Linked DNA regions of Macaca fascicularis. The protein of the gene in region 1 purifies or fractionates together with the protein of each later gene. This does not show direct contact. Links are inferred from orthologs where the notes say so. Each region holds a gene or a part of one and is shown on either strand. Other genes may lie near its edges. The genes, in order: ADNP, CBX3, CBX1 and ZNF644.

The links.
Region 2: the proteins of ADNP (region 1) and CBX3 purify together in Homo sapiens (affinity purification with mass spectrometry; 7 studies listed by BioGRID and IntAct, with this or other methods). This does not show direct contact. The link is inferred for Macaca fascicularis from reciprocal best matches to the Homo sapiens genes ADNP and CBX3.
Region 3: the proteins of ADNP (region 1) and CBX1 purify together in Homo sapiens (affinity purification with mass spectrometry; 6 studies listed by BioGRID and IntAct, with this or other methods). This does not show direct contact. The link is inferred for Macaca fascicularis from reciprocal best matches to the Homo sapiens genes ADNP and CBX1.
Region 4: the proteins of ADNP (region 1) and ZNF644 purify together in Homo sapiens (affinity purification with mass spectrometry; 3 studies listed by BioGRID and IntAct, with this or other methods). This does not show direct contact. The link is inferred for Macaca fascicularis from reciprocal best matches to the Homo sapiens genes ADNP and ZNF644.

Annotation. Positions count from the first base shown.
Region 1 is NC_088384.1:107,005,719-107,010,143, forward strand, and holds the start of ADNP (activity-dependent neuroprotector homeobox protein), read right to left. Parts: upstream 2,977-4,425; 5' UTR 2,804-2,976; coding exon 2,695-2,803; intron 2,547-2,694; exon of another isoform or gene 2,434-2,546; intron 334-2,433; coding exon 221-333; intron 1-220.
Region 2 is NC_088377.1:104,099,142-104,102,997, reverse strand, and holds part of CBX3 (chromobox protein homolog 3), read left to right. Parts: intron 1-2,137; coding exon 2,138-2,280; intron 2,281-3,856.
Region 3 is NC_088390.1:58,617,612-58,621,976, forward strand, and holds the start of CBX1 (chromobox protein homolog 1), read left to right. Parts: upstream 1-1,225; 5' UTR 1,226-1,397; exon of another isoform or gene 1,398-1,439; intron 1,440-3,322; 5' UTR 3,323-3,440; intron 3,441-4,365. UniProt on the Homo sapiens protein: Component of heterochromatin. Recognizes and binds histone H3 tails methylated at 'Lys-9', leading to epigenetic repression. Interaction with lamin B receptor (LBR) can contribute to the association of the heterochromatin with the inner nuclear membrane.
Region 4 is NC_088375.1:143,770,104-143,773,959, reverse strand, and holds part of ZNF644 (zinc finger protein 644), read right to left. Parts: intron 2,469-3,856; coding exon 2,346-2,468; intron 1-2,345.

The DNA.
Region 1 (4,425 bases):
CTTAAGTCCTCAATGGTAGCCTTTTGCTTCAGGATGCAAAAATGAAAAAGCCCATTTTAGGGAGAAAGGCACAAGTTACGCTGTTGAGAATGCTTTCGTGAGCTACTGCTGTGGCTGAAATTCAGAATCACATCTAAGATTTAGCCATCATGGCCACTGACACAAAGTAATGGATCAGAAGCTGAGTCATGTTAAAATTTAAAAATGACATGCTACTTACTTCTATATGTTCTTTACAGTATTCCAACCCAATGTCACTAAGTATTTTTTTCACAGTTTTCCGGGCTTTTCTTAAACTGCCAAGATTGTTGACAGGAAGTTGGAACATAGTTTCTATTGGAAAAAAAAATTTAAGTCAAAGTCAAAACACGTACAACTTGTAATATTCACTAATTCCACTGATGACAGGATCATAAACCCTACCCATCTGACAAAAAAGGTGCACAGGTATCCTCATCTAGTGTGTACACACACAGACACACACGCTTGCATGTGCATATGGCTCGACTTATCCATCCATCCATCCATGATCCATCCATCCATCCTTTTTTTAAGACAGAGTCTTGCTCTGTCACGCAGGCTGGAGTGCAGTGCAGTGCACTCATGGTTCATGACTGCAGTGCACTCACGGTTCACCACAGTCTCAACCTTCTGGGCTCAAGTGATCCTCTCGCCTAAGCTTCCCAAGAGGATGGGACTCCAGGAGTGCGCCACTACGCCCAACTAATTAAAAAAATTATTTTTTTGTAGAGACTAGGTCTCACTATGTTGCCCAGGCTGGTCACAAACTCCTGGACTCAAGCCATCCTCCCGCCTTGGCATCCCAAAGTGCTGGGATTACAGGTGTGAGCCACTGAGCCAGGCACGTATCTACTATACTTTGAATACTTAAAGCAGGCAGGCAAAATAAGTACTCTCTGATCTTCCCAGTTTTTAATAGGACATTTTGACTATGAGTCTAATCTGGCGTAATTCTGATAAGACTTTAAAAAAACAGTTCAGCAATGAACTTCAAGTTGAAAATTAGAGAAACAATAGCAATCAATTATTTTTAAATCAAGTGTTCTTTTCTCCTTTTGATGTTGAACATCTGAAAACAGAAAAATGTTTACCAGTTCATCATCATTATACAGTTTTGAGTGCCAGGGTAAAGAGGTTTTTGTTGAATTGGAACTGTCCTGCCTACTGCTATGGTATTCTTAAAAAAAACCAAACAAACAAAAACTAAAAACCTTAAGTTTCTGTATACTTCCCAAACTAAAGACAGTAATGATATATGACTCGACCAACACATGCCCCCACTCCTGCAACATACCTGGGCAACATACCTGGGCAACATACCTGGGCAAAGGCACTCACAAATGTTAACTGTTACAGACTTTAAGGAGGATCCTTTTGAAAAAATGAAAAGCCTGTATGTATGTGAGGGAACTGAAAAATTATTTTAATGACCTCATACATTAAATTAGATAGACCAACTTTCCCAAGTTCCTTAAAACAAAAGTTTGTCTTTAATGAGAAAATAAAATCAGTAAAACTTGGGCAACTGAGAATATGTATGGTTTCTAATGAGATCATAAATGCTTTCCATAATATGGTAAAAATTTATCAATAATCCAAATGTAACACAATTTCACAGGATGTCAAGTTCTAAAACCCAAAATAGCAAAAACAAAAGGCAAAGCACCAGGAATTAAAATTTAATATATGCAAATCCAGTTTTCTAATTAATAAAGGCTGTTACTCTGTAATACTAATATCATCTGTAAATGGCAAGTCAACTAATCCAAATGTAATAAAATGTTGCCTCATTTATTACTCTAATCCAAAATCAACGTTAACTACAAAAAATGGGAAATAAAAGGAGAGCGTGAAATCTACCAAAATCAAACAGTAACCCCTAGAAATTTTCAAACTGGGTATGTTACTCTAACTTAGAAGTCTCAAAATATTCTATATAAAGTACCAAAGAATAACTGGGGCCAAAAATGAAAAGTATTTTGAAAAAACCTTCTCAGCCTTATCATACTCAAGATAGAATTGCTGCTCACTATGAAGCAATGACTGTGATGTCCCCTGCCCTCTCTGCTCTGCTAATAATCTGACTATTGTGAAGCCAACTACAGACTTAGAAGTCACTTCTGATATAAATTAAGACCAAATCAATTATTTTTCGTCTAAATTGTATTGCTAAATTATTTTAAACCATCTTTTTTGTGGTGGCTTAAAATCAGCAAATTCTTTATCACTTGCTTCCTTTAAAACGATTACTACACGCTGGGCGCGGTGGCCCACACCTGTAATCCCAACACTTTGGGAGGCTGAGGCGAGCAGATTACAAGGGGTCAAGAGATCAAGAACAGCCTGGCCAACATGGTGAAACCCCATCTCTACTAAAAATACAAAAAATTAGCTAGGCATAGTGGCACCTGCCTGTAGTCCCAGGAGGCTGAGGCAGGAGAATCGCTTGAACCTGGGAGACGGAGGTTGCAGTGAGCCAAGATCACACCACTGCACTCCAGCCTGGTGACAGAGTGAGATTTCGTCTCAAAAACAAACAAAAAACAAACACAGTTACTACAAATCAGGTCTTTTAGAGAGAAGCACATGCTAGAAAAATATTTCAGAAATACAGAAAAGTGTCACAGGCTAATTCTGAAGAAACCAGGCATTAAAATGGATGCCCACAGATACCTAAGACTGGGAGGAGACGTCTTGTTTCTCTATTCATTTCATAAACTCTCTTTGGGCCAAAATTCAGTTCTTTGGGAACTTCCTGAGTCAACTCTGCTTCACACTTCATAAGAGATGTGTCCAGAAGCCAGACATTAATGGTTTCCCTGCCTCCTGGATCAGTGGCTCAACAATCTTAGAAAAACAAAGACAGAAAGATTTGGAAATGTAGCCACCACTGGGGTCATTAGTCTACAGAAAACATTAAGAAGAATCAAGCGGTAGCTTGGGGGAAAGAAAAACCCATTCTCCTAAGTGCCTACCCACAGCTTAAAAAGTTGGTTTAAGACATTAAGATGAAGCATCTCACTGCCTGGTAGGTATTTTTTTCTGAAAAAGTGAGTATGCCCATAAGGGAACTTAGTTGTAAGAAACTTGTAATTTATAAAAAGCGGTATTTCAGCCACAGAGTTGGTGTTGGGTTTACTTATCTATTTTGAATTTAAAAGGTTTATAAATAAAGCAGTGACACTGCTTACTGGGAAATGCTGTACCAAAAAAATGTTATTTTGCTGTAGGCTTAGTAACTAAGAGGAATCTGTATTTTTTTTTTTTTTTTTTGAGACGGAGTCTCGCTCTGTCGCACAGGCTGGAGTGCCGTGGCGGGATCTCGGCTCACTGCAACCTCTGCCTCCCGGGTTCATGCCATTCTCCTGCCTCAGCCTCCCCAGTTGCTGGGACTGCAGGCGCCCACCACCATGCCTGGCTAATTTTTTGTATTTTTAGTAGAGACAAGGTTTCACTGTGTTAGCCAGGATGGTCTCGATCTCCTGACCTCGTGATATGTCCAACTCAGCCTCCCAAAGTGCTAGGATTGCAGGTGTGAGCCACCACGCCCGGCCTTTTTTGAGACAGAGTTTTGCCTGTTGCCCAGACTGGAGTACAATGCACAATCTCAGCTCACTGCAACTTCTGCCCCCCGGGTTCAAGCAATTCTCCTCCTCAGCCTCCTGAGTAGCTGGGATTACAGGTGCGTGTCACCACATCACACTAATTTTTGTATTTTTAGTACAGACGGGGTTTCACCATGTTGCCCAGTCTGGTCTCAAATTCCTGACCTCAGGTGATCCACCTGCCTCAGCCTCCCAAAGTGCTGAGATTACAGGTGTGAGCCACTGCGCCTGGCCAGAGTTCCACTTTTCATCCAGGCTGGAGTGTAGTGGTGCAATCACAGCTCATTGCAGCCTCAACCTCCTGGGCACAAGTCATCTTCCCACCTCAGCCCCACCAGGCAGCTGGGACTACAGGTGCACACTACCACGCCTGGCTATATTTTTGTTTTTGTTTTTTGGTAGAGATGGGGTTTTGCCACGTTGCCCAAGCTTGTCCTGAACTCCTGAGCTCAAGCGATCTGCTGGCTTTGGCCTCCCAAAGTGCTGGGATTACAGGTGTGCACCACCATGCCTGGCCAGGAATCTATGTTCACGTTAACTCAGAACATTCTACATCTTTTCAGTGTAAAGATTATAATGCTCTTCATATGCCTATTTCTGACATTCCTAATAACCTTGGAAATTCCATAATGTCCCTTTCTCCAGATAAGTGTGTGCCCTCCATGCGTTTGCTCATGGAGGTCATTTCTCTAAGATTTTCTCCATTTGGAGCTGAAATAACAGTCATATACATTGGCACCTTCAAAAGCATTTGCAAATATTTTTGTTTTTGTTTTTTTTTTGCTTTAAATACTTTCTC
Region 2 (3,856 bases), on another chromosome or scaffold:
TAAATACTGTATGGTATTTTGTCTGCCCCTTTTTTTTTTCTTTTTTTTAACCTTAGTATGTATCCTTTTCATTTTCTATACTTATTTTTTACTTCTTTATTTTGTTAGCCTTCTCCCTTTGTGGCAGTAGCTGTTTTGTTTTTCATGTAGTATAGGTATCTAATACACTTCTGTCTCTTCCAATTTGTTTTTGCTTCTCCCACTATTATTTCTACCTTCTTGTACTGTACAATGACAGAAATCTGTTTGGGCCCAGTACTCAAGTATCTTGACTAATGAGAATCATAAGACCTGACTTGGAAATGGTATCCGAGAAAGTCAGGTGTTTGCTGCATTTTTTTGTATTCCAGGGGAGTGTGTGTGTGTGTGTGTGTGTGTGTGTGTGTGTGTGTGTGTTACCTATATGCTTGCTTGCATAGCTTGAAATGTCATTTTGCAGTCTTGAGGCCTTTCTTACATGTGTGTCTGCGCACTTCATATGCCTGCATAGCTTGAAATGTCCTTTTGTAGCCTTGAGGTGTTGCTGTTAACTTTTTTCTGCTTGCTGCTTTACTTGTGGGATGGCTTTAGTGACTGGGCAATTAAGGTTTATCTTTTTTTGATAGTATTTGGGTTTTTTGGTTTTGTGGGGGGGTTTTTTTGAGACAGTTTTTCTCTTGTCCAGGCTAGAGTGCAATGGCGTGATCTTGGCTCATCGCAACCTCGGCCTCCCGGGTTCAAGCGATTCTCCTGCCTCAGCCTCCCAAGTAGCTGGGATTACAGGCATGCATCACCATGCCTGGCTACTTTTTTATTTTTAGTAGAGACAGCGTTTCTCCATGTTGGTCAGGCTGGTCTCAAACTCCTGACATCAGGTGATCTGCCCACCTCAGCCTCCCAAAGTGCTGGCATTACAGGCATGAGCCACCACGCCTGGCAGTAGCATTTGTTTTAAGATGAAATGTTAAGGTGGATTTCTTCTCTGCCCATAGGATCTTCTGATTAACCATTTCGGGGTTTTTCCCCCGCATTTTTAATCTCATAAAAATTTTCCCCATTTTTAATCCTCTCATAGCAAATCTTGAGCTATTGAAGAGAGCTGATTGAGGTTGGTTTCCTGCTTCTCTTAAATAGTGTCATACAAAAAAATGCCTGTTTAAAGTGAAGTTGGCTACCAATATAGACTTTGTCTTGAGAAACCAGGAAGGAAGGATTTTTTTCACCTTAGAGAATTAAAATCTCCCCTTTTGTCCTCTTGAAGTGACAGCTTTATAGGTTCTAAGTGGTAGGAAATATTATCTACAGAGATGGAAAAATAATCTTGTCCTTTAACCTCCTAGTGGTCTCCATAGTTGACCTTGCAGTTGGTATCAGGATTGTGAACCACGTGTTCATTCTGCGCTTACCTTTTATTTGTATTATTGAAGCTTTTGACATTAGTATTTGAATTGAGAAGGAGGCTCTTAGGTCTGTCGTTGGTTCACCTAAGACCTGTCACTACTATTTTCTTCTCTGTATCACCCTGTAAGTACTTCCTGCATAGTTGCTGTGTTGTTAAAATGAGTGAAAACTCTAGTAAACTTGGTCTTTTAAGACTACAGGGCCGGGCGCAGTGGCTTACGCCTGTAATCCCAGCACTTTGGGAGGCAAAATCACTTGAAGTCAGGAGTTTGAGACCAGCCTGGTCAACATGGTGAAACCCCGTTTCTAATAAAAATACAAAAAAAATTAGCCCGGCATGGTGGCATGTGCCTGTAATCCCAGCTACTTGGGAGGCTGAGGCTTGATAATTGCTTGAACCTAGGGAGGCAGAGGTTGCAGTGAGCCGAGATCACGCCATTGCACTCCAGCCTGGGCAACAGAGTGAGAGACCCTGTCTCAAAAAAAAAAAGACTGGAAAAAAAGTAATTTTTCCAGATAGTGTTTTTGATTGTATTATTTTGGTGGTGGGTCATAAGTTTGAGCTAAATCAACAAAATAAAGCATTCTTTTATTTTATTGTCTGTTGACTTTTAATCTTTCCCTGTCTGCCCTGGGATGTGGAAGTAAAAAGTAAAAATTTATGTTGAATGTAATAATAATGTAAGCAATTGAGCCTTGAAAATGTACCCAAAATTCAAGAAGAATATTTCTTAATTTCTCATTTGTTTTATTTTAGCAAAAAATGGGGAAAAAACAGAATGGAAAGAGTAAAAAAGTTGAAGAGGCAGAGCCTGAAGAATTTGTGGTGGAAAAAGTACTAGATCGACGTGTAGTGAATGGGAAAGTGGAGTATTTCCTGAAGTGGAAGGGATTTACAGAGTAAGAAACTTTAGTGCATCTGTATTGTATGTTTGACTGCAGCTAAGTGGTTTTAGAATTTGTTTTTAACCTGACTCTTTTACCTGCTTTCCCATAGATGTCTTTAAATGTAAAGACACCTTGAATTTAGGTATCTTATTTGAAGTCTATTTAAAAAGAACCAAAACTTTATTGTACAGTTGAAGCTGAGCAGACTAGAGACTAGTTTATTACCCTGGGGAGTCAAATTTGTAAAATTATAGAGTGTAGTTTACTATATAATGTATTTTAATGTGGTTAGATATTATACTGATTATAACAATCTGCATTGTTTTCCTCCACACAGAGGGTACTAAAAAACATTGAAGCTATATAGTATAGACTAGTGGGTCTCATACAGGATTACCTATAATCTAGGCTTTATACTAAGTTTATTATGTCCTAATACCTAAGAAGTAGAGCCTGGGCTTGTTTTAAGCTCTCTGGTTCCTTGTGTTCTTTGATACGGATTCTTGATAATTTTCACAAAATGTGAATAACTTGAACATGCAGCAATTACATACTTTAACACTTGGTGTTTGTTGTGCTTATCTGCTTTGATTCTTCCCTGTTACACCACAAAGCTCCATAGGCAGTGACAATTAAAAATGGATAGGTGGAGATCAATTTCCTGAGCTTGCTGGAGATAGAGCATATGGTAGTCAAATGATTGGGCTTCACATATCTGTTATCTCGTGCTTTCCCTGCTCTTCACATTTAATTCATAGCAGTTTGGGAAATATGAGTTGAATGGGAGATTTACGTTTTCCTGTTTTATCCTCCAGTGTTTTTAGTTGAAATTAAGTATGTATCATAAGTCCATACTTTATTAAGCCCATGAAACATGAAAAATTATTTTTACCCAGCAAAACTTTAGGAAATGAATGGGCTCCTCCCTTTTTCTTCTCCCAAAACTTAAGGCCACTAGCAAAATTATACTGCATTTGGCCATGTGCAGTGTAATAAGTAATGTAAAAGACTCTTTTCTTTTTTTTTTTAGACGGAGTCTCGCCCTGTTGCCCAGGCTGGAGTGCAGTGGCGTGATCTCAGCTCACTGCAACCTCTGTCTCCCGAGTTCAAGCAATTTTCCTGCCTCAGCCTCCCGAGTAGCTGGGACTACAGGCATTTGCCACTATGCCCAGCTAATTTTTGTATTTTAGCAGAGACAGGGTTTCACCATGTTGGCCAGGCTGATCCCAAACTCCTGACCTCAAGGGATCCACCTGCTTTGACCTCCCAAAGTTCTGGGATTACAGGTGTGAGCCACCACACCCAGCCAAGAAGACTTTAATGAAAATAATATTACAGAGCAGAGACTTTTATTGTTCTCTACCCAGTAATTTGGATTTACTAATTTAGAGTCTCAAATTAGAATGTAGGGCCTGGGTGCAGTGGCTCACACCTGCAATTCCAGCACTTTGAGGGTCCAAGGCTGGAGGATCACTTGAAACCAGGAATTCAAGACCAGCCTGGCCAACAAAATGAGACCCTTTCTCTATTTAAAAAAAAAAAAAAAAAGAAGTGTGTGTTTTAAGTTAGCTGGGCATGGTGTTGCATA
Region 3 (4,365 bases), on another chromosome or scaffold:
AGCCTGGGCAACAGAGCGAGACCCTATCTCAAAAACAAACAAACAAACACTGGAACAAATACAAAAACCTAGACACCAAGTAGTAATTTCTAGCAACCACTATTCTTCATTAGATTCCTCCCCACAGATACCACTCCTCAAAAGAAAAAGCTCAGTTCTGCCTCTGGAGAAGAAGCAGAAAGTTCCTAACTTTAGTTCTATAATCTGGGAGATGGATCTGTACGTCATCCAAATAAGGCTAGAGTCAGTGACCATGGCTAATTACATAACTCGGTGTTAACTACATTTCCTGGGCCCTTTCAACCACATCTGAAGTTTCCTTCACTTTCTTCACCTGTACCAGCACCAGTAGCGCTGGTGAGTACCCAATTGTTTGCTGTTTACAAAGTAGATTCATCGTAAAGCTTCTAATATAGTAACAATACAAGGCTTTAGTCTCACCATTTATTTTCTCTCCCATTTAAACAACTTCAAGAGACAGGTTAAGAAAAAAATCAGGTGATTAAAGTAGATGGAACTACTGAGACTACCGTCCCTTCTTACTCAATCTTGAGCCCTTAGTGCCAGATGGCAGATAGCAATTCAAAAAGCTCTCCCTCCAATTATAAATATCACACGTACTAGATAGAGGAAGCTCCCAGTTCTGACCAAGCTTTGTATGATCTCAACCAAGCAGTTATGCTCCATCTTTTTGTCCATCTCTAACCTACTCCTTTCACTTGGAAGGTAATTAACAACGGCGACCACAATCTACCGCAAGTCTCCCGTGTCCACGTAAAATACTCGCCATTGCCCCCAGTCTTAGCCGTTTAAGTAAATGTCCCCAGTCTTTTACTACGATCACTCCTCCTCCATTCGCAACAAACTAGGACCGAAAGGTCCACATGATCCTTCTTCCTTTCCGATTAAGCCTGGGGAGTAGGAAGTGAAAGATATACTTTGAAGGTAAACTGAAAAGTCGGTTTTTGGATCCCCAGCAAGCCCTTGCCTTAATGCCGGGTGGTAAGAGAGTCCCTCCCTAGGATGTAAAGCGATGCCACCATCCCGAGTGCCACTACTGACGCTCAAGCCCACGCCCCCTCACCTGAGCGCAGCCCCTACTCCCCGGGGCCCCGCCCACGCACTCTCACCTGAGAACAGCACCAGCTCCCCACAGCGACACCGCCCGCGCCCCACCATATAGCCAGATCACGGCTTCTCCTTCCGGGTGAGTCGCCGGTGCCCCAGTGCACGACGGGAGACGCCCTAACCCCGGCTGCCCAGGACGCCCCGCCTTTACAGGCCCGGGCTCTGAGTGGGATTCCCGCTTCCGAACGGCGCAGTTCCGCTTGCCAAGGCCCGGGACTGGAGTCGGGATCCCCCCTCCACTCACTTGGGACGCTAGAGAGTGGACGCAGGTGCGGGGTGAGGGACGGCGAATGGGCTCGGATATCCAATCCGGGGCCGCGTTCCGCCCACTGTCAGGGGAAGCCAATCAGCGGCCAGGGGGCGTCCGCAACGGTCAGCCAGTGGGTCACGAGAGCAGAGGGGTGTGAGGGGGTTGTTACTCTTGTTCCCTTAATGCGAGGTACCGTCTGCAGTGTGGGAGGTTCGGGGCTTTAGGAAGCCCACATCCCTGGATCCTCACTAAGTCTCGAGAGTCACCATTGGAACCTCGTAGTTTGTTGTTCCCCAGCGGAGCTATCGAGGGGACTCCGATTCCGATTCGTAAAGCCACTGACCGATTGTCAGAGTGAAAGCCAGACTCGAGAGGGTCCGGCGACTCAGATGGCTCACACCAAAACAAACTCGAAGCAGCATCATGCAGCTAGGGAGCAAGAGAAAACCGTTCAATGTGTTGAAGACTTTTGCGATGGTCTTTTAACAACTTATTTAAAGATAATTTCAGCAAGTCTAGCGCGGTGGCTCACGCCTGTAATCCCAACACTTATTAGAGAGGCCGAGGCGGGAGGATCGTTTGAGGCTAGTCTTGAGACACGCCCTACCAATTTAGGGAGACTCTCGTCTCTGCAAAAAAAAATTTAAAAATTAGCCAGGCGTGGTGGCATGTGCCTGTAGTCCCAGCTACTAGGGAGGCTGAGGCAGGAGGAAGGCTTGAACCAGGGGTTCGAGGCTGCAGGGAGCCCTGATCTCTGCAGAGCAAGACCCTGTCTGAAAAAAAGAAAAACAGCTAAAAGGAAGAAAAGAAAGGGGCCGAGCACGGTGTCTCACGCCTGTAATCCCACCGCTTTGGGAGCTGGAGGCGGGTGGATTACCTGAGGTCAAGAGTTCGAGACCAGCCTGGCCAACACGGTGAAACCCTGTCTCTACTAAAACTACAAAAATTAGCTGGGCATAGTCATGGGCACCTGTAATCCCAGCTATTCAGGAGACTGACGCAGGGGGATTGCTTGAACCCAGGAGTTGGAGGTTGCAGTGAGCCAAGATTGCGCCATTACACTCCAGCCTGGGAGACTCCATTGTAAAAAAATAAAAATAAAAAAAAATTGGGCCGGGCGCGGTGGCTCAAGCCTGTAATCCCAGCACTTTGGGAGGCCGAGACGGGCGGATCACGAGGTCAGGAGATCAAGACCATCCTGGCTAACACGGTGAAACCCCGTCTCTACTAAAAAATACAAAAAACTAGCCGGGCGAGGTGGCGGGCGCCTGTAGTCCCAGCTACTCGGGAGGCTGAGGCAGGAGAATGGCGTGAACCCGGGAGGCGGAGCTTGCAGTGAGCCGAGATCCGGCCACTGCACTCCAGCCTGGGCGACAGAGCAAGACTCCGTCTCAAAAAAAAAAAAAAAAAAAAAAAAAAAAAATTAAGGAAGATAGCTGGATTCTCATATGTGCTTCCCCTTTCTCTGTTGTGCTCTGTTGTTTTGGTACATTAAGAAAATTCAGCCTTAAATAGATATGTAGTTGAGAAAAGGAAGAGTATATTTAGCCTTCTCAAACAATTTTGAATATTCTTCTTTGATACTACCCAAATTCAACAAATGGTAACTTTTCTTTGTTTTTTTTTTTTTTTTTTTTTTTTGAGACGGAGTCTCGCGCTGTGTCACCCAGGCTGGAGTGCAGTGGCGCGATCTCGGCTCACTGCAAGCTCCGCCTCCCAGGTTCACGCCATTCTCCTGCCTCAGCCTCCGAGTAGCTGGGACTACAGGCGCCCGCCACCACGCCCGGCTAGTTTTTTGTATTTTTAGTAGAGACGGGGTTTCACCATGTTAGCCAGGATGGTCTCGATCTCCTGACCTCGTGATCCACCCGCCTCGGCCTCCCAAAGTGCTGGGATTACAGGCTTGAGCCACCGCGCCCGGCCTTCTTTGTTTTTTTGAGACAGGTTCCTGCTCTGTTGCCCAGACTGGAGTGCAGTGGCAGGATCACAGCTTACTGCAGGCTCAACCTCCAGGGCTCAAGTCATCCTCCCACCTCAGCCGTTGGAGCTGCTGGGACCACAGGTGTGTGCCACCATACTCGGTTAATTTTTTTAATTTTTATACAGATAGAGGCTCCCTATGTTGCCGAGACTGGAAGTGTTTATTTATTTATTTATTTATTTTTTAAGTACACACCACCTTGGAGATGGAGTCATTTCTTAAAGGTTAAGTGGGCCGGGCGCAGTGGCTCACGCCTGTAATCCCAGCACTTTGGGAGGCCGAGACGGGCGGATCACGAGGTCAGGAGATCGAGACCATCCTGGCTAACACGGTGAAACCCCGTCTCTACTAAAAATACAAAATTTTTGTATTTTTACAAAATTTTTAAAAATACAAAATTTTTGTATTTTTGTATTAGTCTCTACTAAAAATACAAAAAACTAGCCGGGCGAGGTGGCGGGCGCCTGTAGTCCCAGCTACTTGGGAGGCTGAGGCAGGAGAATGGCGGGAACCCGGGAGGCGGAGCTTGCAGTGAGCTGAGATCCGGCCACTCACTCCAGCCTGGGCTACCAAGCGAGACTCCGTCTCAAAAAAAAAAAAAGGTTAAGTGCAGGCCAGGCGTGGTGGCTCACACCTATAATCCCAGCACTTTGGGAGGCCGAGGCGGGTGGATCACAAGGTCAGGAGATCGAGACCATCCTGGCTAACACGGTGAAACCCTGTCTCTACTAAAAATACAAAAAATTAGCCGGGCGTGGTGGCGGGCCCCTGTAGTCCCAGCTACTCGGGAGGCTGAGGCAGGAGAGGCAGGAGAATAGTGTGAACCCAGGAGGTGGAGCTTGCAGTGAGCCGAGATCACGCCACTGCACTCCAGTCTGGGAGACACTGCGAGACTCCATCTCAAAAAAAAAAAAAAAAAAAGGTTAAGTGCAATAGGGAGTCTGAAGCCATTTTAAAAATACTGGTACAGAATTATGCAGATCAGTCAATGTTAATGCATTTATTC
Region 4 (3,856 bases), on another chromosome or scaffold:
TTTAGATAATCTTCATAAATGCATTCTTGGTAAATGGAAATTTACTACCAGTTATTTATAGGTAATTAATCCTGTGTTTTGCAGAATTTTCAGATGAAGTAAAAGCATTTTTTTAGTGGACTAATAAAATCTGGACTGGAGATATCTTGCCTTATTGGATATCTGCATAATCTGCTTGAATAATCAGAATGGAACACTAAGTCCTCCAAAGTCTAATCTAGGCCTAAGCACTTCTTGGATCTCTGCTCTTTTTAATTAGACTCTTATGTATTCAATCTTCACCAGAGTACTCCCCATTTTAAATCCACCTTCAGGCCGGGTGCGGTGTCTCACGCCTGTAATCCCAGCACTTTGGGAGGCTGAGGCCGGCAGACTGCCTGAGGTCAGGAGTTCGAGACCAGCCTGTCCAACATGGTGAAACCCCATCTCTACTAAAAATACAAAAAAATTAGCTGGGCATGATGGCATGAACCTGTAATCCCAGCTACTAGGGAGGCTGAGGCAGGGGCATTGCTTGAACCAGGGAGGTGGAGGTTGCAGTGAGCCAAGATCGCGCCACTGCACTCCAGCCTGGGTGACAGAGCGAGACTCCATCTCTAAATAAATAAATAAACAAACAAACAAACAAACCCACCCACCTTCGTTTTAGAATTTTCAATTGCTTATTTTTATTTCAATTTCTTATTTTAAAAATAAGAAATTCAAAAATAGGCCGCCTGTATAAGGTAGAAAACAGTGATTAAAAACAAAGATTAGGTAAGATAGCCCTGATCTGAATTACAACCTTGCTACTTATTAACTGTATAAGTTTGAGCAAATTAAGTTCTCTAAGTCCTAGTTTCCTATAAAATGGAAGAGAATTCCAGTACCTACAACTTGTATGGTTGTTGTGAAGATTAAATGTTATACATGTAAATTGCATGGCATAGTGCCTGACACATAGTAAATGTTCAATAAAGGTTAGCAAGTATGGTAACTAATGATTTCCCACTTGTACAGTCTCTTATTTTCATTGTCCCCCACCTCTAATGTCTGCAATCACTTGCCAAGCCTGATAAAGGTGATAAAGGTATATAAAAATTATAATCTCAGAGTAGGAGGCCTAATCCAGTAGACTAAAACTCACCCCGCTCCTCTCTTTTTAATATAAACCGTCAACATTCATCCCTGGTCATTTGTATATCAAGTTAAGGAAGAATGCAAAGAAGCAGAAGACACTAGTATAAATATAAGTGGCTTTTTGAAAGCAAGAACATATTGGATGTAAGTTATAGGACACAAGGAAGAACAAAAAAGCTGGGCAAACAACTAGAAGAAAGCAGGAGGCAGTGATCTAAAAAAGAGCAAGAGAAATAAAAAGATTGGAAAGAATTTTAGGCAAAAGAATTTATGTAGATCTATGTCAAAAAGAGGGTATATTTTAAGATGTGAAGGAAATGAGATTTGCTGAAGCAGGGTAGCTTAAAAGACTACAAATGAAAAGTGCAAAGCATCTTGTAGGTTATAAGAAGCATATTACATAGAAGTAAGCTAATCAAATTTTCACAGATGAGCAGTATTAAGAGGTATCTGCAAGGTTAGGCTAACCAACCAAAAATAACACAGAAATGTGCATGTTAACACTTATGTGCATAGCTAAGTTTATTAATCCTTAATATATTTAAGAAGTATTAAAAGAAAAATCTATTCACTTGTCAACACAAGCCATTATTAAGGCTCACCCCTTCAAAGATCTAATCTATAGACTAATGAAAATTCATTAGTTTGCTTAGTTTACTAACCAAGTCTACATTTTGAAATATCCCTATAATTTCCTTTGCTAAAAGGATTTCCCCAAGCTAGAACTACAATATTTTTATGCTATGTTGCCCAGGCTGGAGTGCAGTGACTATTCACAGGCACAATCATTGCACATTATAGCCTCTAACTCTTGAGCTCAAGTGATCCTCCTGCCAGCCTCATGAGTAGCTGGGACTATAGGGGCACACCACTGTGCCTGACTAGAACTATAAAGAGAGGTGTTTTACTGGAATCTAAAATAAATTTAAAAATCAAAAATAGTATTCTAAAAAAGAAATGGGATTAAGGTAGACTCAAAAGTTCCACACCTCTTGGGTTAATGTTTTTTCCCCAAATTAAGTCAATAAGAGCCAAAAGAAAAAGATTAACTAGCTTAGAATTATATCTAACAGTTTACAAGCTGCTGAAATTTAATGTGTATTCAGACTCAACTGCAGCTTACTAAAGAAAGCTATAAATATGATCTGAATTAACACCAGTCTGGTGGGAAAAAAAAAAAGTGTATTGTATCAAACAGACTTGCTGTGATATCTGTTCAAACATACCTGTACCAGTCAAAAGTCCAGCACTCTTCTTTCGTGCATAAGCGCGTAAGTGGTTGGACAGGCTAACAGCACTTGTAAACGTCGTATTGCAATGCACACATGTTCTAAGCTTCACAGGCATACCTATCATTCAAAAGAAAACTATAATCCAGTTCTCACTTCAAAAAGTGAAATTTTCTTAGCTTAAAGAGTGTAGAAAAGCACCACAATAAAGATGGTTTTCAAAACGTTCAATGAAATAGGTTAACTTAAAATAAGGAGGGGAAATTAAGTTAACTATTATTAGTTTGTAGTTAGTGTTTAGAGCCAACTCATGCTCTTTGGAAAGGTAGAAGAGGAGTGACTTGAACCTTTGAGCTCCTCTGGATATAACACCTATTATCACTTTCTTGCAGATTTCTGTGTTACGCAGATTATTTCTTAAACCTACTAATATACAATCCTGTGATTTGAACACCACGGTTCTGTTGAGAAGTTTCAAAGCTTACAACATTACCAATAAAAAGAATTTAAAAGTCTAGTTGACAAAGTGGTAATTAAAGTGTTTTACCCACAAAACCGTAAAAGTCTCAGTACTAAATTAGGCTTTCTGATGAAGGCTGGGAGAAAAGGTGGTAAAACACACCACTGAACAGCTGTTAGACACAACATTTTATTCAGGGTATTTTATGTTCATTACTCTGAATGCGCAATCAATAATGAAAGTCAATGATTTAAAGTTTTTTGCTAAAATCTTTGTGCTAAATAAATGATCAACAAGCTAACATCTTAGTCATCACAGAAAAAACATGTTCAAACAATAAGAAACTCCTAACTTCTCAGACAATCCTCACTCCCCCAACACATTTCAATCGGTTTCTTCAGCATTACTGTGATAGCCACAAATACATTTTCCATCTCTGAAGTATACTACCCCTTGTTCAACACAGCTAACACATCTTATCCTTCTGAAAAAATATTGAAAGCTATTGACTTTCAGAGACTCTTTATTAGAAAGAAAAAGCCATATTAAACAGAAGCTCATACAAGATAAATTGTTTTCCAGACCACTTACAACACAAAGTCATCTTTCCTTAAATCAAAATTGCATTACAACTATTTGGGATATCACAATGTTTGCCCCAAAGCAAATAAACAACATTACTTTACAGTAACGTTACTTGTTATTAATCCATTAACTATTACCTCCGACACATTCAACTTACAGCTCTAATCATGAGACCATTTACATAAACCTTCAACATTATTAACCTTCAAAAAGAAATCTAGAAAAGACACTTAAAATTTTTCTAGTCTAAAAGTATAAACCAGACTTGGCAATACTGAATAAAGTTTGGCTACTTTATCTGCCACATTATTTGCCAATACATACAAAATATTCCTTTCAAAAGGAAAAACTATTGGTGCACAAGCACTAAGCTAAATCATCTGTTCTGTTCCATTACAGCACCATCTTAAAACCTAAAACCCCAAACAAATATGTTTTATGTTCACACCTGTTCTCCAAAACC